Xenopus tropicalis: one gene and its partners. The main gene of each other region encodes a partner of the protein of the gene in region 4 in a complex. Links are inferred from orthologs where the notes say so. Each region holds a gene or a part of one and is shown on either strand. Other genes may lie near its edges. The genes, in order: usp39, lsm6, txnl4a, lsm3, snrnp40, prpf3 and lsm2.

Region 1 (4,169 bases), on a different chromosome or scaffold from region 4:
TTGCCCCTGCATGATTTCAGCTCAGGGGTGACTAAATGTTCTATAATGCCCAACCACTAATCACCAGTCTAGGCCCTTCCAGTGCACTCTTGGGTCAGGTGATAATCGTTAGGAAATGGCTAGTGCCCTGTTTTTGAGCATGCCCACACTGGTATATAGTAATTTTGAAAACAACCCAGAATGCTAGTAGACCAATGGCTGTGACAGTTTGACATGCAAGGCTCCTGCAAAGTTCCTAAAAGGTACCTAGTTTGCCCATGAGCAGTAACCCATATAGGGTTGCCATCTTCTGACTGGGGAATGCCTGTGTGGGAGGCAGAACGGTGATGTCATGGGGTGAGGCGGATGATGTTGGAGGTGTGGTCTATGACATTGAGGGATTTGGTGGGGTTATGACATGGCGATCGGTGCCAGGAGTTCTGTCCGATTTCCCTCATTTGGAAAATGGGGCAGGGAGTTTGACCCGGACAGACAGACGTGGCAACCCTAAACCCATAGCAACCAATAAGATATGTGCTTTACAATAGGTGACCAGTAAATTCTACCTGCTGACTGGTTCCATCAGTTGCTGCTCCTGGGAAAACTTAGTGCCTTTTATTAAATAGCCCCATCCAAGTTTAAAAAGGTGCGGACTTTAAAAGTGGGTGTGGTCACTTCAAAATCTCAACAGGAATCCGCTAGAGAAGCATGAATGGGACAGCCCTTTTGGAACTGAACAGCTGCCTCCACTGCCCAAAGGAGTTTGGCTACACAAATATTGGAATTTCAGAAGCAAATCTGTCATTTATTTAGCAAGGAAACACTAGTTCATATTTCAGTGCATTTGAAGTCCTGCCAGCTTTAGGAACACAAGTACCAGGCAATGCCATGGCAGGGATGGTATATGAATAGATTGGCCCCAACAGCACCAGTATAACCTTCATGGAAGCAGCCCCATGGCCAACACTACGTGAACAGTCTCAGTGTTTCTGCTTTTTAAAGGAAAAAGTTCCGGCCGCTGCCAGCCCTATTACCTCGCGATCTGATTCCGCCGGATATGGTGAACGAAGCCGTGATTCATATCCAGCCTCCCACCGGGCCCGGCTTTGCCCTGCACCTCCACTTCCTCCTGCATACTCCCGGCTCTAGTCTACTTCCAACACGGGCACCCTTTCAATCCCAATACCGCCCCCTAGCTACCGCTGGTAGGAACTATCCCGTCGCAGCCGATTGTAGGAGAGATAGCGATTGGCTGTTTTTGTTTCGACAAAGGCTAATGTAGCCAATCAATGCATCCCTGACATTAGCGTTCCGTGACTCGTTCCTGTTGTATAGGAAAGTGTACGGAAGCGGCGTGGGGGAGGGGCTTCAGTCCAAAGAGAGGCGAGACACGCAGGAGAGTCGGTGGAGGCAGAATGAACGCTGAGAAGCGGGTGAAACTGGAGATGGAGGAGGAAGACGACGACGATGATGATGATGAGAGAGGTGAGGGAAACTCATTCTATTGATGCGACTTGGTGTGAATAGTGTAACGGATTGATTGAGTAAAAGCGAATGAAAAAGAGTGGTGCACATGTGTTAGCGTGGGGGGATAATAAATATGTGCTTCCTCCGCTTGTGTCTGTCACTGTGTCAGAGAAGGAATTTCTCCAGGGCCCTCACCATTACTAGGGCCCCCACCATTACTAGGGCCCCCACCATTACCGGGGCCCCCACCATTACCGGGGCCCCCACCATTACCAGGGCCCCCACCATTACTAGGGCCCCCACCATTACTAGGGCCCCCACCATTACAAGGGCCCCCACCATTACTAGGGCCCCCACCATTACCGGGGCCCCCACCATTACCGGGGCCCCCACCATTACCGGGGCCCCCACCATTACCGGGGCCCCCACCATTACCGGGGCCCCCACCATTACCGGGGCCCCCACCATTACTAGGGCCCCCACCGAGAAAATATGGAATCCCCCCCAAAACAGGATCATTAAACCTGTTTTGTCAGTGCTCCGGCCATGTCTGTGCATGGTGTCCCAGCATGGTACCTCTAAAGCTGGACACAAGGATGGCTGATTGGACCATTTAGGTCATTAATTTCTGTATGAAACTAGGTTCACATTTGCTGCCACCCTCTGATCCCTACCTGTGATTTTAGCCCAAGTAATGGCAGTGTCACTCTTCCATAATGTTTTCCTGGCAATCCAAGTGTGATTTGCAGGCCAAGCAGTTTAAGTGGGTGATACAGGTGAATTGTGCATGTTTAACTTCAGAACTGTACATATAACATATATATAACACGTGCATGTAATGCTGGCAGTTGTAGGAAAGCACGGGCGGTATGACTTTGAAGACAGACGTAGTCGCCATTGCCCATATCTGGATACCATTAACAGGTCAGTCTGGTTGTTTTGCTTGGGACTGTGTTGATTATGTACTGCTCACAAATAACACTGGTTCTGTTCTTACCAGGAGTGTCTTGGACTTTGATTTTGAGAAGCTGTGTTCCATCTCTCTTTCTCACATTAATGCATATGCTTGCCTTGTATGCGGGAAATACTTCCAGGGTAAGTAAGTGGCACAGAGTGTGTTGTTCAGATGAGCCCTTATTTTGTCAAATTTTTCTCTTTTTTTTTTTTTTTTCCCCCCCCAAGGTCGAGGCTTGAAGTCCCATGCCTATATCCACAGTGTTCAGTTCAGTCACCATGTTTTCCTTAATCTGCACACACTGAAGTTCTACTGCCTGCCGGACAACTATAATATCATTGACTCCTCCCTGGAAGACATTACGGTACTTGCACATCCTCTCTTGCCCCATTTGTTTATGTGACCTTGGCATTTTCTAATATGAAGACAAAAAATCAGGATGGCCCAGTTCATATTTGCCCAAGGTGCAATCTTAGTGCCCAGTACAAGTGGTATGGCGTTCCCAGAGTTTTTAGAGTGCACTGTTGACTTATATAACACAGGTGTCGGTAAGTTAAAGACTCTTATACTCTTAGACTCTTATACTCAAGAGCAACAATCCCTTCACTAACTTGATGTGTCTATCACAACACATACGTCTCCTTTAGTGAGTTCAACCACAGCCAGCAATTAGGATGGGAAAGGTAGAATAGCATATTATCCGCAAAAGAGCCATGGATCACCTGTACTGCTCTGATCATGCAACACACAGCAGGGCATACATCAAAAAGCAGATTTTATGGTCAGTAACAGGGAAACATAAGCCCAGTGATGGCAGAAATGTCTAGCTCCACTAGCTGCCTGTTGCCTTAGCATTTTTCCCCTTCCTTTGGCTGGCCCCCATTCTTCAGTACAGTCTTTCAAAGTTCTTTTTTTTTTTTTTTTTTTTTTTTTTTTTTTTATATAAGTGTGAATCTACACATGGAAACAAGGACTGGGTTTCTCCTTGGATTGAGAACATAGATGGCCTCAGGCCATAAGAGAGAAAGGTAGCTGTTCTTACAGAAGTAAAGGGCTTTGTAAAATGTGCACATTATTTCTATACTGTCTCTGTCTGTTCAACTGTGTCACCCCCCCCCCCCCATATTAACTTTGCTTTTCATGTTTTTAGTAACTATCTCTTTGTCTTCTACAGTATGTGCTGAAGCCAACCTTCACCAAGCAGCAAATTGGTAACTTAGACAAACAGGCCAAGCTTTCTCGAGCATATGATGGTACCACTTACCTCCCAGGCATCGTGGGACTTAACAATATCAAAGCTAATGATTATGCCAATGCTGTTTTGCAGGTAGGAATTTTCACAATATACAGGGCCTGTGTAACAGTTAACCACCTCACCTTCACTGCAGCAGAGAATCATCTCTCATCTATTTCACTGGATGCCCTAACATTCATCAGTCTGAAACACTTTAAACACTTTTGCTCCCACAGACCATAGTGCAGATTTCATGGCCAATGTACACTAATTTCTTTATGGTCACTTCCAGGCTCTCTCCAATGTTCCTCCTCTGAGAAATTACTTTCTGGAGGAAGAGAATTATTGTGATATTAAGCGCCCTCCTGGGGATATCATGTTCCTGCTTGTGCAGAGATTTGGGGAATTAATGCGCAAACTGTGGAACCCCAGGAATTTTAAGGCTCATGTCTCCCCACATGAGATGCTCCAGGCTGTTGTTCTTTGCAGCAAGAAAAATTTCCAGATCACCAAGCAAGGTGAATATCTCCACCC
Region 2 (4,242 bases), on a different chromosome or scaffold from region 4:
GTTGGTGAGCAGATTATTTATTTAGCTGCCAAGTTCGCTTATTCTTTGCTTATTTGGCTAGCTATTAAATTAATTAATTCATTTATTTGCATATCATATTAGTTATTTTCATTTTTGTACATTTTAATTCCTTCCGAGGAATCTTAAACAGTTACGCTCACAGAGCGTCTCCTCATCCCCTATGTTTGCATGGGTGGGTTCATGGCAGTTGCAGGGCAGATTCAAGTTCTGGATGTGAAAGCTAGTTACCCAGCAATTACCAAATGAATGAAAACAAAAAAAAAAAAATATTGTATAATTGTTTATAGTTATAAGCAGAGAAGACCTAAACAGCAATAAAGACAGGTATAAAGTGACAATTTAGAGGAGTGAGTGAGCTTCCCCCACACCATGCTTATAAACAATTTGCAGGATTTCCAATTTGGTGTCAGTCACTGGCCTCTTGGTGACTGCACATATATTTCTTAAGGTGCCCACACACCTTCAGATCCGCTCGCTTGGTGATGTCGCCAAGCGAGCAGATCTTCTCCCAATATCCCCCACCTACGTGTGGGCGATATGGGGAGAATCCAGGCTAATTCCCTGGGGCCAAACGATCGCATTATAAAGACGGGTATAGGTGAAGTCGTTCCAGGGACCGCATCAACGAGCTGATACGGTCCCCGATCCAACTAGATTTTTTAACCTGCCCGATCGATATCTGGCCCAATTTCAGGCCAGATATTGGTCGGGCAGGCCCATCGGTAGTGCCCATACACGGGCTGATTAGCTGCTAGAATTGGCCCGTGTACAGGGACCATTAGGTGCCATGACATTCACCACTTTAATAAGGATATTTGCAAATACATGGTGTACAGCAGGTAATGAATCAGTAAAGATTTCAGATGAATAATACCAGGCTCCAATTGAATAATGTCATGCCACACACAGCTTATCAGTATTAGTAATCATTTTTGATGCTAGTGACATTTTGTGTGGCTGATTAAAGTAAACTGACCCTTCAATCAGAAAGGATTATATGGGAAGTTTCAGAAAATCAAAGTAGCTTACCATAAGTAAAGTGCATGTGCCTGTATAAAATAGATACAAAAATAAATATATGTAAAATAAAAATACGTATACATTTGCGTCAACTCAAAGAAATGTATTACGTTTAGCAAGTAAGAGTAATGCTGAATCAGAACACGTTTTTAAAGTTGGAGGCGAGGTTTCTTTACTAGAATGACTTATAATGGCATGGTGCAGGGATTCAAAGCCATGAAACATACAGGATATCCCAGCCATTACTACATACAAGAGGTGCAGAGGAGCCACAGCGCCGCCTCTCGCCCTGATTGGACGCATCATTTCCCGTGTTAACGTCATCGTCCCCTTTTGACCCCCGGTAGGCGGTGCCTCATTCAGGAACCCGATTTACTTCCGTACGGCGCACACGGCTTTCGCTTGTTTTTGGATTGTCCTGAGACGGACACCGTAAAAAGGGGTAGGAAGGAGAGAGGCGGGAGAAAAGGCATCGCACGGGATACAGGGTGAGAATTACAGGGTGGCTTATGGCCGCCTGTAGTATTTGCATTGATGCACACCATCTAGTATGGTTAGTGCTCATTACGTTCAGAGAAAAGTAGGTAACAACAATAATTAACCTAAATGTGTGGCTCCCGCGGTGTCTATGCGAAGCGAATTCTGGGAGTTGTAGTTCATCCCAGGTGTGTGGCCGCTGCATTACATTGGGATTGTATTATGTATTGTTCAGCTATAATGTTTCGAAGTAGATTTGCTACAGGCACCCTTTTCTTGATACATATTTGTATTGCTCCCGGCAGGTGGGTATTGTAATTCCTGAGCAATATACTGATTACCAGCAGGCTGTACTAGAGGGGCTCAGTGCCAAGTACATGAGAGCTCCTCTCACAGGGGCTGTATAGATCTCCCTGCTACATCAGAGGGATGGAGCTTCTTACTTATAGATTTAGAATCATTTGTAAGTTTAAGCCCAGCTACAGTGTGTCAGTGTTGGGCTCTAGCCCTAATGTATGTAAGCCCTAATATATCTATGTTATCAGTGAGCTTTTCCACTTAATATTTTATTCTGGCAGTAACCAACATGCTTGAGGCTGTCACTGACAGATTTCCTCTGCTCTAATTGGCTGATACCAGCATGAGTCACATTTGTATCAGACTGCTGACAGACACCATGGTGGATATGTTTGTACAGGTATGGGATCCTTTATCCGGAGACCCATTATCCAGAAAGCTCCGAATTACGGAAAGCCCCTCTCCCATAGACTCCATTTTAATCAAATAATTCAGATTTTTTAAATTGATTCCCTTTTTCTCTGTAATAATAAAACAGTACCTTGTATTTGATCCCAACTAAGATATAATTAATCCTTATTGGATACAAAACAATCCTATTGGGTTTAATTAATGTTTTATTGTTTTTTTAAGTAGACTTAAGGTATGAAGATCCACGTTACAGAAAGACCCCTTATCCGGAATACCCTTGGTCGCTAGCATTCTGGATAACTGGTCCTATACCTGTAGTAGGAAACGTTTAGGCTGAGGAAGCACAGTATTTCTTAGAAATGATAAGAGACACTGAATAAAAACCTTTGATAAATACAATAATATATCAGGGAATTTGAGGACTGTGGAGTCGGTACATAAATCCTCGGAACAGTAACACAAAAAATGAAAGCATATAAAAGTAATTAAAATATAATGTACTAGTGCCCTACACTGGTAAACATTGTGTGTTTCCTTCAGAAACCCGAATATAGTTTATATAAACAAAGCTGCTGTGTAACCATGGGGGTAGCTGTACAAATTGAAAATAAGAAGAAAAGACACAGGTTACATAGCAGATAACAGATAAATTGTGTAGATTACCATTGTACCATTCTAAAGCGTGCATCTGTTATGTAACCTGTGCCTTTTCTCCTTTTTTCTAGCTTGAATGGCTGCCCCCATGGCTACACAACAGCTTATTTATATAAACTATATAGTCTTACTGAAGCAAACATGAAACTTTTACCAACACAGAAATACCCAATCTTAACCCGCCTGCTCCCAACCCTACCCGACCCAGCTTCTTCCCTTTATTTATAGACCTACTCCCGACCCTCCCCGCAATGACATCACGAAGGGGTGGGGCATGTCGGGCGCGCACCTATAAATTCCCAAGCTGGAATCGGAATATCAGCATTGTTAGGTCTCGGTCATGGAGGCTGACCGGAAGCACTCAACCCGAAGCCCACCCGCGACCCGCAGGTGATGTGCCAAGGTCGGCCTGACCTGCAGGTATTGGGCCAGCCCGCACATCAATAGTGCCCACTCCTTATTCTGCTGTAGACACTGAGGAATACAGAGCCTCCAGTTAGCTGTGATTTAACCCTGTTTTAACTGCTTTGTCTTCTGATTTTTTAGAACACATCTCTTATAGTGCTTTCCTGGCTTTCCTTTTAAAGGCTAGTTAAGACGAAGATATTTCTAACCAACTGCAGGCGAATGGATTGTCATTGCTGTTGGTTAAATTTGGTGGAATAGTTTAATAGAAAACTAAAGTTTAACATTTCTAGCCTGCTTCTTTTAGAGTTTAGTGTTTGTAGAGTTTATATTCTTTAAAATAGGACTTATACTCCACAATGTTTGCTGTGAATTCTGGACCAAAGCGGCAGTCTATTTGTATACCATATCATAGTGCAGATTTGCCAGTTCTAATGCACTAATCTGTGCTGTTAAATCATCAAACTGACAATAATGACCAACTGCAACTGATATAAAAATGCTGGTCTGAAAATGTGAATAATATATAATATCTGTAAAGCACTGAGGAATATGTTGGCACTATATAACAATAAGAGAATTATTTTGTCTTGAAACCTTTCTTTACAGTGAAAGGGAATTAGAATGAGCCTGCGCAAACAAACACCGAGTGACTTCTTAAAGCAGATTATTGGAAGACCAGTGGTTGTAAAGCTCAACTCTGGAGTCGATTATCGAGGTAAAGCTTAAAGTAAAAGGCAACCTGAATTCCTTTTATATCTATCTTTTATCAACATTTGGAATGAGGATTATGAAAAATGTATTTTTACAAATTCATTCTGGCTCTGTTTCATGTCCATGTTATAATACGTATTTTCCCTCACTTCAAAGTTTGCACATTCCAAAGCAATACATTTTCCCACAGATGCTGCTTAAATTTAAATATGCAAATCAGGGTTACGTTTGGGTCGTATTCTT
Region 3 (4,181 bases), on a different chromosome or scaffold from region 4:
TTGGAGCAAGGTAGAATAGATTTTTTACTTTAGTACTTACTTTTTTTTTTACTTTTAGTGTTACTTTTCCTTTAATCATTTTTAGAAGCAATCAGATTAATCAGTGGTTTTCATCCAAACAGACCCCCCCCAAGGATAAATAAAATAAAAGTGATTGACTTCTGAGGATTAGAGTGTTTATTTATGTGTGTTGTGAGCATTACACAACAGCAGAGCTGCTAAGTTCTCTGGAAGCAATGCCACCAAGGGTTGTTGGCCAATCAGAGGCAAACAAAACTAACAGCATAAAGTGTGATTGCAAACAAAAGTTGTAAATGCCATCGCCACTGGACTTCAGAACAGTGGAAACACATTCTCTGGAGTGCTAAATGGCGGTTAAATACAGCTTGACACAGTTCCCCAGAAAGAAATTCAAAACTCTCAATACAACTGTATAACATTTTTACAGTTATATTTATTAAAGGGTGAGTTTTTATACAATGATAACTAATAACTAAAATGTTAACTAATCTCTAAAAATCCAAAAATAAATAAAAGAGCTGTGAAGGAGAAGATAAAAACACTGTAGTGAAGGAATACAGCACTGTACAGTCTGACTGGTAAATGTTAAAACATAACTTGTAGGAATAAAATACAAATCATACTCCCCCCCCCCCCCCCCCTTAAAAAAGATCCTTCAATCACATGGATAACTTTCTTTCACAGGCAACAGATATTAACCAAATAATGCAGCTAACTGTGCTGTCACTCAGCATCTGCCTTCATCATGACCTAGCAGGCTAATATTTCATACCAACACTGATGTAAGAACAGTCTTAAAAAAGCATAAAATATTTTGTAACTTAAAAAACAGCAACAGCCAAAAGCTTAGATACAGACAGAACACAAGTCAGCATAACAGAAATGCATATATGATGCACCATTTATCACTCGGAGCATGATCTAGCCATGTGGTAATGCACTAAGCACCTAGCTTATCTCTGCACCAGAAGAAATACCTTCAAAACAGCAGTTACGGCACCATAGATGAGGTAACAAGAAACACCATAATCAATAAACAATTTCCACACACTTAAAGGGGAATTAAACACCCCAAAAAGCAAAATACTGTACAACTGCTCAGAATACTCTTCTCAGCACTTTTACTATTTACACTGAACATTTTAAGATATAAGCACTTTGCAATAATAATATAATTTATTTGAAACCACACAGCTCCCTACTGTTCTGATCAGCTGGCCATCATAAAATGATGTTACTGAGTTACTCAGTAGGCAATATCATTGACCAAGGAAACCTCTCTGCTCAGTAACTACCTTAACAGAGCACTGCAGTTTTAAATTCATTATATCAGTGTACATTATAAAAGTGCTCAGAAGAGCATACTACCAATTTTACATTAATTTCTTTTGGGGTGTTTAGGTCCACTTTAACATTTATATTTTTATGTTCTAACTAAAAATGTAGGCAAATACCAAAATAGATATATAGTAATAACATACTTCATCACAAGATATTCGATTAATGGGCCCAGTCCTGTGATCTTCAATCACCCCAGACAGTAGACCTCGAACGCAAATACAGCAAGGCAGTGTATGTGCTTTGGGATGCCTGTGAAATAACACAGAATATACAGAATCTCGCCTTTTCTATGTTTTTTCTTTATTTCCAAACATGAAAATACTTAATCTTTGAGGTTCCATATGTAGAATCATTAGCACTCACACAACATTGGCCAAATTTGCCTTTGGGCAGTTACCCATAGCAACCAATCCATGATTGGCTTTTTCAGCTAACTGCATTTAGAACAATGAATGCAACAACTTGATTGGTTGCCATGAGTTACTATTCAAGAGCAAAGTTGCCCAGTGTTGATAAATGACCCCCACCGTTCTCAGAAAACATATGAACAAATATTCCAAGGGGCCTCAACCTACACAGCACCCTTACTTGATGGAATGATGTCACAATTTTTGCTCTTCTACCCCTCTCTCTAAACTAAGGCTCCCTGTAATGATCACCAACTAAACTGGTAAAAGAAATGATCCCCTTTTTATATAGAATAATTTACCACTAGAGCATTTCCTAGTTATTTTCTCTTAAATTTGCAAATGTATTTGAGTCGTGCATTAGCCTTTACTTTCTTCATCCTAAGTTCAAGCTGAATATGCTCCATACTCTGTTTAAAAGCGGCATCACCATAACCCTCTGTCTCCTGGTTGTGACTTTAGATCAACATGTTTCCTGTAGAGCTCCATTTTCTTATTTACACTGCTATTTGGTTAGTAGGGGTGTTGACCAAAGTAACCAGTCAGTGGTTCCAGTCACTGGCTTGAAGATAAATAGGAGAAGGCCTGAATCTATATTAATATGTATGAAAAAGACCCACTCCTGCCAAACCATTTTTAACTATGCCTTGAACCAGCTAGAGAAATCACACATGTGGGGGGTCCCCACCACTTATGTCCCCAAAGGGGGGGGCAGCTGCTGGAGGAATGCTTAGAGGCAGGTGTAGGGGATAAGGCGGCAGGCCCATACATACAGGCATCTGGACCTTCTACCTGCCTGAACCTTTTTTAATCCAAACCCACCTGACCTGCAGGTCTTCGATACACTGCTATAAATATATCTTACCTTTTCAGCTATACTGTACAAAACTTCATCCATCTTCATACAAGTTGGATCCCAGTCATGGCCAAAACGTATAACTAAAACTCTGTCTTCCTCAGACAAGATTGCCTGGTCGACCTGCCAGCCATTGTGCAAATGAGGAAGCATGTACGACATTTTGGCAGCTTTGCTTTAAAGCTAAAAGGACAAGAAAAGAAGTATTGCAAGAAATGAAACACTTTTCTCAAATGCGTGAAGATACAAACATACTCCCATCTACACTGACAGGCTAACATGCTAATACTTTCAATTAAAAATTATCTGGGCAAATTTTAAATATTTTTAATGGTTAAAGAGTCCGAAGTATCCCCCAAGATTATAGTTTACAGATGAGGATACAAATTGTAGCGTAATGCTGCTCGTAACAATCCGACATGAATCTGGGAAATGTGGGGCTGCAGTAGAGGCAGGGGGATTGCCTGAAGGCCACTTTGGGTGAGTATTGGTGCAAATTCATGTGAATCAATAGCAAGCTCCTGAGTTATACCAACAAGCTGCCCCAAAGCCTTATATATATATATATATATAGGCTACATACCACCCAACTGTGCTGATTTAACTAATACAGTCCGCAGTCCCGTACGGTTGTTTAAAAGTCTTGCGGTGCTGTTGCCGTGTAGCCCCTCGCTTCCTGCCGTACAGCGAGCCAACGCACCGCAAGTCTCATCTCGCGAGAAGGTGACGTCACATCAATACTATAAACGTGGTTACGCAGCACGTAGCTGCCTTGAGGCCAATGTCAAAGGAAGATGGAACTTGAGTTGAACATGTGCTGTTTCTTTTCTTTATATGCACAGCCCAGTAGCTGCAGCTAGAGCCTATGCCCCAACAGAACCTTTAAATTAACTAGATTAGACTAGACTATTTAAATTTAAATAGATTTAGCTTATGCCAGGCACAGGGAACAGAGAAATAAGGCTTTTAAGTTCCTGGTTGTGGTCATACCCCCCCAACTGTCCCGCTTTTTACGGCGCATCCCGCTGTCCCGGATAGTTCCATGAATGTCCCGCATTGCGGGACATTCATGGAACTATCCGGCACAGCGGGATGCGCTTGCTGTAGCCAGATGTTCTTGCTTCTTCTGCGGCTTCGTTATGCCTCTCCTTGTGCAGCGCGACAGGCCCTTTTATAAGGTTGCGCCTGTGGGTGTGACGTCATTACGCACGGAGCGCAACCTTATAAAAGGGCCTGTCGCGCTGCACAAGGAGAGGCATAACAAAGCCGCAGACGAAGGCTGCGCCTATGGGAGGTACTGTGTATTGGGGGGGGTACTGTGTATTGGGGCACTGTGTATGGGAGACTATTGTGTATGGGGGCACTGTGTATGGGGGGGCAAAACTGGTACTTAGTTATAACTCACTTATAACTGACTGCCTTCTCTCTATATTTGTATTTTAATGTAGGAGTTGCTATATTGTTTTCCTTAGGTCGTTCAGTATGAGGGTATAGCACATTTTCATCTGCGCCCGCCATTTGATCTATATAAAAGGGGTATTTTTTTAAAAATGGGG
Region 4 (4,015 bases):
ATCATTTAGCACAGAAATAAAAGCCCATGCACAATTCAAGGGCTAACTCTGCCTATCTTTTAATATTGTCCAGATGGCATAATACTAACACAATCTGCAACTGGTCTTTATTTTTTATTTCATCTGGTCTCTGAATTATGTTGTCAAGGTTTGTATTTAATTTATCTGGTTTCTAGGGGTTACCTTAGCAATCATAGAAGAATCTTAAAACCAGTATAGTGAATAGTACAGGGCTGATGCCCATAGGGTTCAATCTGCACTCACTACAGTATTATTCCCAGCCTATTTAGAAACTCTGCACAGTGTCCCCATACAGTACCTATAAGAATTAAGTCTATTTAAGTCTGTGAATTAAGTCTGTGTTTAGATTTCATTTTACGTGTTACTGTATATCATTCACAAGATGAATGAAAATCTCTATAGACATGCAGACCCCATAGAAACTCACCACCATGCAGGGAGTCTATTGCCGGGCGGTTTCTCTGCTTGTTCCCCGCTACCGCAGCACCCTCAGACCCCCTCCGCTTTGCCATCTCCCCACAATTCTACCTCACATGTCCCCTCTGGTTGTATAACCCACACAACAGGAAACAATCTGTCTCAGACAATAACATTAACGCGTCACTTCCGGAACATACACATGTGCACCCCGCTGCCAGGCCTCCGCCACTTACTGCCCATACTCTCACATTATTGGCTGAGCTTCACATTCCGGCCTCCGACACTTACTGCCCATACTCTCACATTATTGGCTGAGCTTCACATTCCGGCCTCCGTCACTTACTGCCCATACTCTTACGCTATTGGCCGAGCTTCACATCCAGGCCTCCGCCTCTTACTGCCCATACTCTCACACTATTGGCTGAGCTACACATTCCGGCCTCCGTCACTTACTGCCCATACTCTCACGCTATTGGCCAAGCGTCACATCCAGGCCTCCGCCACTTACTGCCCATACTCTTACGCTATTGGCCGAGCTTCACATCCAGGCCTCCGCCTCTTACTGCCCATACTCTCACACTATTGGCTGAGCTACACATTCCGGCCTCCGTCACTTACTGCCCATACTCTCACGCTATTGGCCAAGCGTCACATCCAGGCCTCCGCCACTTACTGCCCATACTCTCACGCTATTGGCCGAGCTTCACATTCTTCCTGTGGCACATAAATATCGCGATAGGAGAATTGTCAGGGTTCTCGGCTATTTCCTTTGCGCGGGGTTTTGAAGATGGCGGACGACGGAGAGCAGGTAGGGATGTGGGTTTATAAGACTGGAAAACAGGTTCTGTTCGGTTCTCGGCGCAGTGCGGCATAAGGGGTGCTCCTGGCCCGGTCTCGCTTGGGAACGCGTATAGGGTTTTTTTATGTTGCGGGGAATTAAGTGAATGTTTATTCAAACTGGACTGTTTTCTCTTTTATTTCAAAGCCTTTTTTTTTTTTTAATCGTGAAGCACCGGTGGAGTGTGTTTATATTCATAACTAGCGATGTAAATCTGATTAAAAACCCAGTTGTTGTGGTCAGGAGTAAAATGAAATGTATGTTCTGTGTGGCTGATGGCGTCAATATATTCAAACAATAGAAGCACAAGGCTTGTTTTAGTTTCTATACCTCAGATTTCTGAGTTTATCTCCCAATTGACTCTTGACTCCTGTTTTTTAGGGACACATCCTATAAAATTTAAGAATATACTAGTGAATTATACTCCTAGATATAGGATTGTGCTTAAAAAAAAAAAAAGTTGTTTCGGACTGATTTGAGAATCCCCCCAAACCCCACTAGCCCCGCCCATCTGTTCCACTTCCTGCTGGCTGAATTCTCTGGATGTGCAGGGGAGCCGGGGCACTCTAAGATAGGAACCAATCAGCAGCTAGGCTGACCTGATAGGGAACTGAAGCCTGTCTGTGCTTTTGTGAGTGCAGGGCTGTGATTGGCTCTCCCCCTCCTACTGTTCTTCTAGCAGGGACCGTTAGGACACGCCCACCCCTCATTTGAAACACAGACAGGGACCTGAGAGGATCTATAGGGAGCTCCAATAAAGGGGCCATTGTTACAGATAGGGTTAATGTTTAGCCCAAAATGAAACCAGCACCGGATATTATTCATAATTGCCTACAAAATGAGGGGTTTTCCCATTTATCCAACATGTCTCCTAATTTACTAATGTGTCAATCCATGTTGATTGGAAGAACACAACATACATTTCATCACTGCCAAAGCTCAGCAGTTTGAAAGCTGTATGGAGGTGGTGCATGTTTTTGGGAGCAAACTAAATAACTACTGGCTAGGCAGCTGGTTCACTACCCTATTGGCTGCCCAAGCGGGTCTAAATCTATAACCTAAGTCTGTCATTTTGGCTTTTTATTAAAGACACCACAAGCATTCCTTAAATCTAAAGTTCAAACAAGACAAAAAATGAAAACTGTAAGGTTTTAATAGCTCAGGTTACAAAACAAAAACTGTAGTACCGTGTTAGCCAGTGTCAAAAATAATAATAAAAAAACAACAAGACACAAATACAAGAGTATTGTACTTCACACTAGTGAAACTACACTCTGGGCTTTATTTATAATTAAAATACAAATAGTACAGTTACATTAAAGGTATAGTGCTAAGTGTCCTAGACAAGAGGAAGGAGGTCCCTGCCCCACAGACCTTACAATCCCATGCAGGGGAGAAAAGAAATGCTATTTGGTAACTGTAGATCAAATCTGACTGCTCAAAACAATAAAGGTGCCCATACACAAGCAGATTTTGTCATGTGAAACAACCAGTTTTAAGGTGGCCATACATGGGCTGATTCTAGCTGCCGATATCAGTCCCTTAGACCAATTCGGCAGCTTATTGGCCGTGTATGGGCATTAACGACAGGCCTGCCCAACTGACATCGGGCAGATCTCGATCAGGCAGGTTTAAAAATCAGTCTGATCGGGGACTGCATTGGCTCGTTAATGCAGTCCCCAAACAGACAGACGCCTATGGCCGTCGTCCTAATTCGGACATTTGACCCTGGGGCCAAACGACCGAATTAGCCTGATATTGCCCACCCATAGATGGGGATATTGGGAGAAGATCCGCTTGCTTGGTGACTTCGCAAAGCGAGTGGATCTTAGCGTGTAAGGCCACCTTTACAGTGAACCAATAAAATTTGCTTTATTATTAACTTATTGTTACATTCAGGGGGAAACGATTGTAAAATATACGATCATTTCAACTGCATTGTCCCAACATTTGATCAGATGGGCTTGACCGTTTTTGTCATTAAATCAGTCAGTGGATGAGAGGAACAGATCACAATCATTAGATTAACATTCCCTGCACAAGTCTTTATTTTGATGGGCTAGGTTAAGTGCAAAAGTAAACAATGGAACAGACGGGCATTGGCTAATATATGTTCTTGGAGCCAGCACAACAAAGATATGACAAGTCTTCTCATATATTGACAAATGATCAAGCAAGCTTGAGTTTAGTTGCCTGAGGACCTGCTGCCCTTCACACTTCCCCCCCCCCCCCCCCCCAAAGGTCCTGTGGATGCTGAGTTACTAAACTCATGCAAATACTCTGTACCCCTGCAAGCACTGACACTTGATTGTGTGGCTTAAAAGACTGCTATTGCTAAATATTTGCAACTTATTCACTGGAATATAGAATCAGAAGTGCCATTACTCGTTTAAAGGAAATGTAAACCTTCGAAAGACATGGGGGGGAAAAAAGTCAACTGCAAAAGTGCTCTGAATAGAGTGCTGGGCAGTTTTGAGACTGTTTTCTTGGGTTTACATTTCCTTGAAAGTACTTTTTATAATATCATAATTATAAGGAGGCTAATATATCACGGCACCATCTGCAAAAGAAAGGGGACCAGAATTTGTGGTAAAAGCAGATGATTATTACTTTGCAGCTAAGGGGTTAAACAATATACAGGCAACTCTTATGTATCCAGCAAAAACAGTTTTAAGATAGAGGCAGAAACACAGGACTAGGTTTAAACTGAAAACTATAAATTGAATCATACTAAAA
Region 5 (4,169 bases), on a different chromosome or scaffold from region 4:
ATAAACCAAAGATATTACAGTGTCTGGCATCCTGGTCTTTGCAATTTTACAGAAATTAGTATGCATAATTTAGTACCACCAATGTGTAATACACAGGATAGTTTTCAGTACCCGTAAAACAAAAATGACTACATAAGCCCCAGACCAGACAATTACCTACCTCCCGTCTGTATTGTAATGAAGCTCCATCACTGCTCCACTATGTCCTTTCAAAGTTGCATAATTGTCACAGTCGCCATATACATTCCATAGCACTACAAGGCAAGTCAAAATAAACTCACTCAATAACTTCACAATTTAAGGGTAAAATACATAGCTTCATTTTTGGATTCAAATTCTAATTGTTATTAATGTACAATGCAGCATAAAACTAAAGTTTAAATGGTTTCATATTCCTTGTAAATTCCAGATTCAGACGGTGTCAGTTTTCTTGCAAATCAGTTAAATACCTACAAAGAAGTTCATGTGTGCTGCTAAATTTACTTGCTTTGTTTAATAGAATAAGTTACCTGCTGGGCAAACCTGCCAAAACATGGTAGCTTATTTAATTTGATTAAATATTACAAGAAAAGAAAAAATAAAATAACACATACCTGCATAACTTTCTTAATCTGATCAGTTGTAACATTCATAATTAATGTTACAGCTTGTATAGTGTGATAATGTGCTAAAAAGGAGCTAAAAAGCATAACAAAATTACAGGAGGTGCAGATTAATCCTTAATTAGTAACGTATAGATGGCCAATTAATTGTGTGATTCTACAGATGAAAAACAACATCTGCTACTAAGTCAAACAGCTGCAAAATACAAAGCGTATAAAACAAGTGAAAGTTGCTTACAGATAAGTCTGTCAAATCCTGCAGAAGACAAAGTTACACCATTGGGATGAAATTTGCAGCAATAAACTTCTCCTTCATGACCAGAAAGCAGCATGATGGGAGCCTGAAGACTGGATGATCTTGGGGGACCCTGCAGTCAACAAGTTCAGAGAATTAAACATCAAAGTAGATTCAGTTCCATTTATTACCTAAAGAAATATTTTATTCACCTTAAATTTTTAGTATTCTATAAATTACCATTTCTATTCTATTTTAAAGGGGCACTGACACATTCCTATAACAGTAAGGAACTTGTCAGTATTACCCATAATGCAGCACAACACTACTGCTTTTATTGAAGATTTACCCCAAATCTCCTCCAGCCCAGTCACACTTACCACAGGCAGAGTTAAAGGAACAGTAACACCAAAAAATGAAAGTGTATAAAAGTAATTACAATATAATGTACTGTTGCCCTGCATTGCTACAACTGGTGTGTTTCCCTCAGAAAGACTACTATAGTTTATATAAGTAAGTTGCTGTGTAGCCATGGGGGCAACCATTCAAAGGAGAAAAGGCACAGGTTACTTAGCAGATAACAGATAAACCCCCATTATATGGGGCTGATCTACTAGTTATCTGCTACATAACCTGTGCCTTTTCTCCTTTTTTCAAGCTTGAAAGGCTGCCCCCATGGTTACACAGCAGCTTATTTATATAGTAGCTTTTCTGTAGCAAAAACACCAGTTTTTTGCAGAGCAACAGCACATTATATTTTAATTACTTTAAAACACTTTAATTTTTTGATGTTACTGTTCCTTTAAGCCAGCAGTCTGGATAAAGAGATGCTCCCTGCAGACATGCGGGCTGTGGGTGGTGCCATCATTCTATAGGCAGGAATACAAATGTAAACTGTACTCCAGCCGTTGGAAGGATTGCATGGAGGCCAGTGTGACTGACAGACAACTCGTTAAAGTAACATTCTGCGTGTAGTAGTGTTGGGATGGGGTAAGTGTGTTTGGGCTGGGGGAAGCCCAACCAAGTGCTGCATTGTCAGTAATACTGACACGTTCCACGTCAGTATTCTTTTAACTACTCTTTGGCATATTTTCTCCCCTTAAAATTCAGTTTTAGTATTATTGTTATATTGCCTATTGTTTATCAGTCTATTGAGATCCTTCCCTAATTATTTGCCATTTTGAGTTCCAATCTACTTCTTGGTTGCTAGGAGAATTGAGGTCTAAACAAACAAACCTTAGAGGCGCAGAAGAAATAATCAAACTAAAACATGAGAAACAGATATACAGACTAAGGTCATGCTGTCTACACTATACTAAAGGACATTTTAAAACTGAACTACCCCTTTCAGAAAAAAGGCATGAAAATGGGTTAAGAGAAAGTCCCATAGCAGTAAAAATACTAGCTTTTTATTTACTATTTATAACTTTTGGAAATAAAGTTTTTTTTTTAAAAAAGAAAACTTTAACTTGATTACCTTCATTAAAACAACTAGAAAGTCCCATAAACGAAAAACCACAACCCATTAGCGTAGCAAAGTGTAATCACAAGGTCCTTAATGGCTGTGTGGGGTGCACAAGACGAGTCAATACTATAAGTAATTATACCCCTACCTATGTTCAGACGTTAGAGCCTTATGATTACACTTTTTAGCTTATTCTTATACCGTCTAAATCTTTTAATAAAGGAAATAATGGTACGATTTAGATTATGTCTATAATTTTACCTAAAGTCCAAGTCAAATATGCCCAAGGAATGAATGGTTACACTTATCCAAGCCAACCATTTCATTCAAATTCTTCATTCTTACCGAAACCACCAACTCGTTCCTCGGTTTTTTTGCCTGTACCGGCACCAACTCCATTCCCTTCCGCTTGTTTTGCTCGATCATGTTTCCAAGAACTCCTTCCAGCTTGTCTAACACTCACAAACCCAGCCACACTGTAAGACTCGCTTGCGTTCCCACTCAGCAGCGCAGGATGCTCACGCAATTATCCTGCGCAGTCACTACCTGATAAAGATTATAGTGGTGATTGGCTCTAAGACAATCATGTGACCTTGAAAGCCTTTAAGGGGCGGAACAGAGCTTGCGCCGATTTTGTCCATTAGTAATGACGTACGATGGGCGGGGTTGCGCGTATAAGGATGTTTAAGCAACTGGGCTGATACAGGAGAAAGAGAAAATGACGTAGAAGTTGTTGTAATTGGTTAAATGTGATCGGCCGGGGAGGAGACAGCGAAATGGCGGCCCATCAAAGGTAAAATATATAACAAGTCAGTTAGAAGAAGATTAATAGGCTATTACATAAACCATTATTAACGCAGCTTGATATTTCTCTGCAGGTGATTCAATTTTTTTAGGCACATCACATGTAATTTTGTCTACTCCAGTAAAAGGGGCTGTTGGCTTTAGGTGCCTTACATGCTGTTAGCGCACACTGAAGGATTCATAGGCTGGACATGCCTTCACTTTCTCTTCTATATGGAGCATATCTATTATAGTGTGTAAGTCGACATCATTGGTGGTGATGTGGCCCTTAGCAACCAATCAGATCTTTGCTTTGGATTTCTAACTTTTAGGTGACTGCTAAACTCTTAATTGCTGATTGTTTGCTATGTGCAACATCACTGGTGATATTGGCTTATACGCTAGTAAATAGGCTAAGGATTAAGGCCATATGTTATTCTGCACATAGAGCCACATTTACAAGCGTATTTGTAAATTTAGAGAGGTGACAGACGGGTATATTAGTCGCCCCGCAGCAATTCTTTGTTGCTGCGGGCAACTAATCTCCCTGCTATGCCATCCCACCAGCAGGAATGTAAATCGCCGGTGGGATGGCATATGCGTCACTACGATTTTCTGAAGTCGCCTTAAGTTGCCTTAAGAGGAAACTTCGGGTGACTTCCTTAGCCCTATGTGTTGTAGCAGCCATGATTACTATAAGGTATTACAAATCTATTGTCACAGTGACCCAGTTACACAGTGTATGGGTTTGAACCTGCAGTGAAAAAGAATGAAAGTGTCCCTGCCCTATGTTATGCGTATTTATCTCATTATTCAGAGACTTACGAAATATACATATTTGTATATATATCTTTATGTGACTCTAATTTTATATGCAATTGTTTTTTTTTTTTTTTTTTTTTTTACAATACTTTTATATTACAGTGCAATAAATAAAATATTAGCAGCTAAAGAGATTGAGTGCCACACATTGAGACACAAGAAGAATGAGTTCTTTGTCCTGTCTTAACATCTAAGAAGGTTGGAAACTTATTCACATGAATGGGAGGGTAATAAGTGCAGTCATTTATTAAGGTGTGGACAT
Region 6 (2,969 bases), on a different chromosome or scaffold from region 4:
TGCATGGAACAGAAAACCTTCTGCTAGGGTCACTGAATTTAAGGCATTGTTACAAAGATTCCAGAAATTAGTGAAACTAGTCTCTAGTGGATTATACAAATCCATTTTAGATAAACTTAAAAACCTTGGAGCAGAATGTCTCTATAGCTAAGGTCTGAATGTGCCATTGAGTTTATTGCAGAAGTATACATGTAGGAGCAGACCTAGCCACTGAGTATACAGTCAAGCCCATTCTACCTAAAGCAAGTTCACATTTGTAAACAGAATAGGCGGAAATACTAAATATATGTATTGAGAATGAAACTTAGTAATATACCATTTACAAAGATTTCCACAGGAAAACTACACCCCCCAAACAATGTAGGTCTCTATAAAAATATTGCATAAACAAGCAGCCCATATGTAAAACCCTGCTTCATCTGCACTCCTAAATAGAAAATTGCCATTTTAAGTACTAAAGGCTGCCCCCAGGGATCATAGGATTCACGGTGCACACAAACAAGCCAAGGCACACATAAATGCTAGGCCCCATCAGCCAATTAATGGACAGAGTTCTGCCTTTTGCTCCCACACTACTTCCTGTTACAGTTAGAGCTGCATTATTTCCTGTCAGCTGATCTCTGAGGGAGCACACAGCCCATCACTAAATTGTGGCTCAAGGGAAAGGATGTAAAAGGGTAATATTTACTGATATACTATCTATCTATAACTATCTGTTGGTTAAGTATTCATTCTGGGGGTATAGTTTCTCTTTAAAGGTAAAAAAAAATGCCCTTTTTGACATTCAGTTGGGCTTCGGTTAACCTTAACCTTTAGAAATAAATGTATATTTATTTTTACACAGCTAGACTTCAGAGTAGGAATTCAGAAGATTCTGGGACATGAAGTTCTCTGCTTTGCAGAGAATCTGTGCACTTCCCAGCATGGAAAGCATAAGAACTTCAAGTCCCAGAATCCATCACTTCAACATGGAATAAAGAGAAGGAAAGGTTAAATGCGTGCCTAATGGGGACAGGGGGGTATGGTCCATGCAACTCAGAGGCTGACTGTCATGGTTTCCTTTCCTGTATATCTGCATATAGAAACAGAGCTGAAGTGCCTCATTTCCCTTCCAATTATCATGACAAATTTTCTGATTGTTTTTTAGGGTACAACTAAGGAACGCAGCTTTGGAGACATGAAATTCAAACAGTGTCCCACAGAAAATATGGCTAGGGAACATTTTAAGAAACATGGAGCAGAGCATTACTGGGATCTGGCGCTTAGTAAGTCTGTTTTGGAAACTGCAGACTGAAAGCAAGTTCTGAGCCTTACAACACTGCTGCACTTCTCCAAACAGAAGGAAAAAACAGACTAGGACTATGAGCGCCTTAACAACTTGCAGCGCTCGCAACTAAATCTAGCTTGAAACACACTGTTTCTTGCCCAAGCAAAGTTATCCTTCTCTTCCATCTTACTGTAATTCTGGGTAACCTCAAACACTGCTGCCGACCAGTTTAACCATAGCAACCTGCTCTTGTCCAGCCTTTGCTCACTGATTGTAACATAAATGACAGCCACTCTGCAGCCTTTACCCCTACCCCCAGTTTTTTTTTCTTTTCACATAAAAAGGCTTTATGCTTCAACTCTGAAGAAATGCTGTTTTCAGAATGATTTATTTTGGTAAAGATAAGCCTTATTTTGGTTGGTTCATACATGCAAACAGAAAAAAGAAAATGTAAATACATGGGAAGAATGAAAAACATAGACCATACATAATGGGAATTGGGATTAAGCATTCAAACAACTCATTACAAAATCCATATGGTTAAAGGAGAAAAAGATACAGAAGCCAGTAGGGTGTAGGTAGTATTTGTAGCCTAAGTCCACCACAGCCCTTTAGCAGTAAAGTTCTGTGACCCCCTATCCTCTTTTCTGCTGATTCACTGAGCATGGGCAGTGCCACTGACACTCATTAGATGGCTTACAAATATCAGAAGATGGAGAGCTACTGTGGACAAATTGGAAGGCAAGTGTCATTACTGTTATAGCTGCTAAACCTCTGGGCTTGCACAGTAAGTTAAGTGTTTAGAAGGCAGCATTTTAACCATATTTGTTCTTAGTTCTCCTTTAATTCAGAGAAGCATCCTCTAGTGTTGAAAACATATGCATTTTTTCCAATTCAACTTCATAATTCCTTGGTTTGTATTAATGGTTTAAATAGTTTCGCCTTACAACCGGAAAGGTTGATTTTCAGCTTTGCGGATAAGCTCCAGTTTACATGGATTCATCAAGCACCCTGGACAGGACAATTGGCAAGAAACCTTATCCTATAGATTTGACTCCATGTTTCTTTATTGTGGATTGGCATTCTGTTGGCAATTTGTTTTGTTTAGCACAACAGAACTTCAGAGTGAAATTTATAAAGTGGAGTGTAGGAAAAGGGGGATTTAGCCCTAAACCTATGACATAATAAACTTTTTTTTTTTTTTAATTGTTGTGAAAGTTTTTGTTGGTGTAATTTCATCATGTGCGGGGGGGGGGTAGCTGTGTGTATGGCTCTTAATACATTAAGGTGCTCATGAAACTGGGACGGAAGCAAAAATGTAAATGGGATGCTGCTATTCCATACATTTATTGGGCTCACTGCTGAAGTACAAATGTTTTGGGAGAGGAATAATTCTCCACTCACCTCCCAAAATGTCCCGACCAGTGACTTGGTTATACAGCACCATTCATATAATATTCATGTCCGTCCCTATGTCTGTGCAGCTCACAATCTAAGGCCTATATGTCACACAGATTTTGGTCAGTTTCATCAGGAGCCAAAGAACCTGGCTGGTTTTGAAATGTGGAATGAACCAAAGTAGCCAGAGGAAACCCATGCAGACACATGGGAGAACATAGAAATGCCTTACAGATTGTGCCCTGGCTGGAATTAAACCTCTGACCCCTATACTGCACCCAATAAAGGTTTAGTACAGCACATT
Region 7 (4,285 bases), on a different chromosome or scaffold from region 4:
TTAAACCAGTAAAAATCATATTACGACAAAATTAAGAAAGGCAGATACAAACAGAAGGAACTAGCTTCACTAAAAAAAAAAAAAAACATGAGCTGATGACTTAACACAAAATTTATTTAAGTAAAAAAAAAAAAAAGTTAGGGCAGTCTTTCCCAATTAACTCTGCTTATCTGAGACCACTTCTTTGCAGAGCAAAATGCATTGCTTGGATTCTAAAGTGAACACACAAGTCACTGCACTTAAAAAAGTTTCCAGAACTAGGATGAGAAAAAAAAGTGTGGGTCTCTTACAGAAATGTAATGCAAAACCTGTATAACAGGTAACAAGTTGCTGCTCACTCCTATATTTGGCCTTATAGAAATATAGGCAGTTGACAACACCTAGTGCTGCTTGTGAACCTGCTTCCATCCTTCTAGCTCTTGTACATCACTGCTTTTGCTGTACAGCTTCTTTCCGTGCAGCGTCCTGGAGAAGCTGAGTGTCTACTTCATCAGCAGGGAGCTGTACATAGCGGACCACAGATCCCCGAATGAAACAATTCTTTACAGACAACTAAAAAAAAAATTTTTTAAATAATTACATTAACAAGTGTTTCAAAGCAGGATTAAAAGCTAAGTATCTAGTTTACTGGTGCAGATAAAAAATACAAAGAAAAAAAAAAAAGCTTACCATGTGTGGATATTTTTCTGGGTCTGTTACACTGATATCAGTCAGCTTAATGTTCAAATACTATAAAAAAAAAAAAAAGTGAAATCTTGTTTGAGATAATGAAAAACACAAGTTCCCCCCAAAAGTTCTATTCCAAGACATATTCCTCTATGCAGAATGCAAAAGATGATGTAGCACACTGATCACACATTAAATAAAGTGATTTATTGGCTTAATTAGCAGACATCTACTGGGAACATTTCAGCCAGTCTGAGAGTGACCCAAAACATTGCAAGAGTCGGTGCAACTTAATGCAACCACAATAACGGATCAGTGTGCTACAGCATCTTTGACCCTGGGCAGGTGGGTCTACAGACTGTTTAGCACCAGACACCTGAAAAGGTACTACGATAACAGGTAGAGCAGAGATATTCCTCTATGCAAACAAGCCCTCTAGGGTATAAAAAAAAAAAAATATGAGCAATATTCTCTTTGGAGAATCTTGTAGTAATTATGTTAATAAATATTCCCTGGTTTGACATTATACTCTGCAGGATGCGTACATTTTATTAAAGGCTCTGTCCCTTCAGGGGTTGTTCACCTTTGAATGAACTTTTAGTATGATGTGGACAGTGATAATTGGAGACAATTTGCAACTAGTCTTCATTATCGCAGTCTTTAATTAAATTTAGCTTTTTTTATTGCAGCTCTCCATTTTGGAATTGTAGGCGCTATCTGATTGCTAGGGTTTAATTTAACCTAGCGTTGTGGAAATTTCAGTAATGGTAAAGTCATTTAAAAGAAAATTTTCACTTTTTCATTTTTTTTTTGCCAACCCAACATTTTTCCCTGGCACTGAAAGATTTTATGCCAATTTCAGTTGCAAGGCTTAAGTGACAACATGGCTGAGCTGATAATTATGCTGAGAAAATAAACTACATTTATATATTTGCTCAGTTACTTACCTGATCAACTGAGTGTAGAGTACCACAGATACTGCAAGAGATAAGACCATTTATGTAATAGTGCAACAAAAGGCTAAATGGATGAAAGATGGCTAAATGGTAAAGAAGTGGTTATTTAAGGGTGTGAAGTCTACAGGAGCACAAGAAAATGTTTTTATAAATTCTGTCTACACAATACACTCTGCCCTCTAAAGTTTGACAATGGTCAGGGGGACTCTAAGTGCTGCTGCACCCACCGTGCTTACCTCTTTTGTGTTGGGCACATCACAAGTGCAGAAAGCACAACTGCACACACTGCACTAGGTTTAAGGGCTGTGACACACAGGGAGATTAGTCGACACGCAACAAGAAAGATTTGTTGCGCGGCGACTAATGTCCCCGTGTGTCACATCCCTTAAAGTACAGAAATTAGGTTCTTGAAATGTACCAGTGGCAGCTTTTTGCCTGACTGTATAGCATGTGGGGGGGGGGGGGGGGAAGCAATTCTAGAAAGAACATGGGGCAAAACACTCACCTCAGATCATTCTTCAGCTCTACCACCACATCCTTTCCTACAAGAGACTTGAAGAAGGAGTAGAATAGCTGTACATGATAAAAACAAGTAGTTATAAAAACCAGTTGCCTCTCCTGTAGCTTACCCAAGGCACATCACATAACAAATGTTGCCAAGATCCTTTACAGATCAAGGCAAAGCATGTTCTCTCATAAGACACAAACAATAACAGAGACAGACAAGTTGTTCTGTCCAACTAACATCAGGTTACAAATGATTGAAATGTTGTTGCAAAGCAGGGATGGCCAAATTCGAGCCCTCCCACTGCTATAAGACTACAAATCCCAGAATCCTGGTATAGGCAAAACATGGAACGTCAAAGCAGGGCATGGCCACTCAGAAAGCTGACCTTGCGACTATAGGGGGGGGGGACTGATTGCCAAACAGGTCTGTATACGCTGGTACACCACAAAATACATGGCTATCGACTCCTTAGGTTCTACCCTACAAAACGTGAAACAGTAACGGAACGCTAGTGTTCTTAAGCGGTTACCATTGCTTCTGTTGCAGTCGCACCACCCAAGCTCTATCTGGAAACTGAAGAACAAAACAGACGCCGCTGACAACGACAGATCTACACACCAAATGCCTTCCGCTCATTCACCGCTCTAGCGCCTCTGCATAAATCTCGCGAGAATTTAAAGCAGCAGGAATTTGCGCGCCGGCTTCAGGCACCGGCCGAATGAATGGGTCCCACGGTGATGACGCAATCATGATCTCGCGAGGACAGAAAACATTTTTTTCATGTAACTTTCTTGAGAAGTCCCCTAAACGTATTTTATCCCTGAACAACTAAAATACGTTAAAAAAAATACAGGTTTTATAAACTGGGAGCAGGTACTAAGTGTAACAAAGTATAGATTAGTTTATGAAACAGTAGAATAAAAATGAACTATATTAAGGTTAGGCACTCCACATTAGATCTGTAATGTCCAACCTTAAAATGTTTTTTTATTTTATTGTTTCTTCTGCCAGCAGAATTCTAACCTAGGGCCAAACTAGCGACAGTCAGACAAGAATCAGATTTATCTCTCCTTGTTCTTTGGATCCCTTTTTTGTATTTTTTTAATCCCTAACCTTTGGTTTGTCACTTGCCCACCTCCTGCCCTTTTTGAGCTTCTGCTCAGAGAAAATGTCCCTTGTACCAGTTTATTAAACAACTTTGGATTCCAGGTGTAACTACAGAGGCTGGAACTGCATTCTGACCCACAAACACAAACTATCAGTTCTTGCACAACAAACATCAATTGTAATGTTAAGGACCAATAATTACCAACTCCAGGTACAAGGCATGAGGGTTACGAGATAGCTAAAAGGAGTTACGCTGTCCATACCTGGGCTAGTTACTGTTAAAGGAGACATATCCTATAAAAATTATGAATGTGCCAGTGAATTATACTCCTCTAGATATAGAAGGAATGTGCTTAAAAAAGTTGTATTTCAGACAGATTTATTGAGAAATTCCCCCAAAACCCCACTAGTCCCCCCCATCTGCTCCACTTCCTGCTGGCTGAATTCTCTGGATGAGCTGGGGAGCCAGCGGCCCTCTATACACTGCACTGTAGGATAGGAACCAATCAGCAGCTAGGCTGACCTGATAGGGAACTGAAGCCTGTCTTTGCTTGTGTGAGTGCAGGTCTGTGATTGGCTCTCCCCCTCCTACTGTGCTTCTTGCAGGGACCGTTAGGACACGCCCACTCTTCATTTCAAACATGGTCAGAGAAGAGAGAGGATCTATAGGGAGCTCCAATAAAGGGGCCATTTTTACAAATAGGATTAATGTTTAGCCCAAAGGGAAACCAGCACCGTATATTATTCATAATTGCCTACAAAATTAGGGTTTTCCCCATTTATCAAATATGTCTCCTTTAATTTACCCTTCATATAAGTCGGTTCCATATTGGTCTGTGTAGGGACATTGCAGTTTTCATTTAAAAATGGTAATTATCTCAGGACAAAACAAGACAAGGAGACTGGAGGAACTTGGTGCACCTTAGGACGCCTGTCCAGGTTGTTTTGTAGCTCTACCCCTCCCACCCAAGCCTGCAAGCGCACAGGTCCCACAGCTTGGGCTCAGGAAGGATGGAGAGTGCAATGGAAGTGCAGGTCCTAACTTGGC

The links.
Region 1: lsm3 (region 4) and usp39 share a complex: the UniProt entries of both Homo sapiens proteins name them as parts of the U4/U6-U5 tri-snRNP complex. The link is inferred for Xenopus tropicalis from reciprocal best matches to the Homo sapiens genes LSM3 and USP39.
Region 2: lsm3 (region 4) and lsm6 share a complex: the UniProt entries of both Homo sapiens proteins name them as parts of the precatalytic spliceosome. The link is inferred for Xenopus tropicalis from reciprocal best matches to the Homo sapiens genes LSM3 and LSM6.
Region 3: lsm3 (region 4) and txnl4a share a complex: the UniProt entries of both Homo sapiens proteins name them as parts of the precatalytic spliceosome. The link is inferred for Xenopus tropicalis from reciprocal best matches to the Homo sapiens genes LSM3 and TXNL4A.
Region 5: lsm3 (region 4) and snrnp40 share a complex: the UniProt entries of both Homo sapiens proteins name them as parts of the U4/U6-U5 tri-snRNP complex. The link is inferred for Xenopus tropicalis from reciprocal best matches to the Homo sapiens genes LSM3 and SNRNP40.
Region 6: lsm3 (region 4) and prpf3 share a complex: the UniProt entries of both Homo sapiens proteins name them as parts of the precatalytic spliceosome. The link is inferred for Xenopus tropicalis from reciprocal best matches to the Homo sapiens genes LSM3 and PRPF3.
Region 7: lsm3 (region 4) and lsm2 share a complex: the UniProt entries of both Homo sapiens proteins name them as parts of the precatalytic spliceosome. The link is inferred for Xenopus tropicalis from reciprocal best matches to the Homo sapiens genes LSM3 and LSM2.

The regions. Positions count from the first base shown.
Region 1 is NC_030679.2:125,759,335-125,763,503, forward strand, and holds the start of usp39 (U4/U6.U5 tri-snRNP-associated protein 2), read left to right. Parts: upstream 1-1,369; 5' UTR 1,370-1,394; coding exon 1,395-1,464; intron 1,465-2,294; coding exon 2,295-2,370; intron 2,371-2,446; coding exon 2,447-2,541; intron 2,542-2,628; coding exon 2,629-2,765; intron 2,766-3,575; coding exon 3,576-3,728; intron 3,729-3,927; coding exon 3,928-4,153; intron 4,154-4,169. Other genes in the region: UPF0561 protein C2orf68 homolog, read right to left, coding at 1,014-1,114.
Region 2 is NC_030677.2:58,334,625-58,338,866, reverse strand, and holds the start of lsm6 (U6 snRNA-associated Sm-like protein LSm6), read left to right. Parts: upstream 1-1,442; 5' UTR 1,443-1,529; exon of another isoform or gene 1,530-1,706; intron 1,707-3,113; exon of another isoform or gene 3,114-3,300; intron 3,301-3,894; 5' UTR 3,895-3,909; coding exon 3,910-4,003; intron 4,004-4,242. UniProt on the Homo sapiens protein: Plays a role in pre-mRNA splicing as component of the U4/U6-U5 tri-snRNP complex that is involved in spliceosome assembly, and as component of the precatalytic spliceosome (spliceosome B complex).
Region 3 is NC_030682.2:96,972,581-96,976,761, reverse strand, and holds the start of txnl4a (thioredoxin-like protein 4A), read right to left. Parts: upstream 2,801-4,181; 5' UTR 2,788-2,800; coding exon 2,635-2,787; intron 1-2,634. UniProt on the Homo sapiens protein: Plays a role in pre-mRNA splicing as component of the U5 snRNP and U4/U6-U5 tri-snRNP complexes that are involved in spliceosome assembly, and as component of the precatalytic spliceosome (spliceosome B complex).
Region 4 is NC_030680.2:132,918,360-132,922,374, reverse strand, and holds the start of lsm3 (U6 snRNA-associated Sm-like protein LSm3), read left to right. Parts: upstream 1-1,215; 5' UTR 1,216-1,228; coding exon 1,229-1,249; intron 1,250-4,015. Other genes in the region: xpc (DNA repair protein complementing XP-C cells), read right to left, coding at 449-533. UniProt on the Homo sapiens protein: Plays a role in pre-mRNA splicing as component of the U4/U6-U5 tri-snRNP complex that is involved in spliceosome assembly, and as component of the precatalytic spliceosome (spliceosome B complex).
Region 5 is NC_030678.2:79,149,906-79,154,074, reverse strand, and holds the start of snrnp40 (U5 small nuclear ribonucleoprotein 40 kDa protein), read right to left. Parts: upstream 2,801-4,169; 5' UTR 2,729-2,800; coding exon 2,648-2,728; intron 971-2,647; coding exon 841-970; intron 255-840; coding exon 161-254; intron 1-160. UniProt on the Homo sapiens protein: Required for pre-mRNA splicing as component of the activated spliceosome. Component of the U5 small nuclear ribonucleoprotein (snRNP) complex and the U4/U6-U5 tri-snRNP complex, building blocks of the spliceosome.
Region 6 is NC_030684.2:127,685,432-127,688,400, reverse strand, and holds the end of prpf3 (U4/U6 small nuclear ribonucleoprotein Prp3), read left to right. Parts: intron 1-1,147; coding exon 1,148-1,294; 3' UTR 1,295-2,469; downstream 2,470-2,969. UniProt on the Homo sapiens protein: Plays a role in pre-mRNA splicing as component of the U4/U6-U5 tri-snRNP complex that is involved in spliceosome assembly, and as component of the precatalytic spliceosome (spliceosome B complex).
Region 7 is NC_030684.2:75,103,095-75,107,379, forward strand, and holds lsm2 (U6 snRNA-associated Sm-like protein LSm2), read right to left. Parts: upstream 2,801-4,285; 5' UTR 2,663-2,800; coding exon 2,660-2,662; intron 2,196-2,659; coding exon 2,128-2,195; intron 1,645-2,127; coding exon 1,614-1,644; intron 730-1,613; coding exon 670-729; intron 553-669; coding exon 427-552; 3' UTR 94-426; downstream 1-93. UniProt on the Homo sapiens protein: Plays a role in pre-mRNA splicing as component of the U4/U6-U5 tri-snRNP complex that is involved in spliceosome assembly, and as component of the precatalytic spliceosome (spliceosome B complex).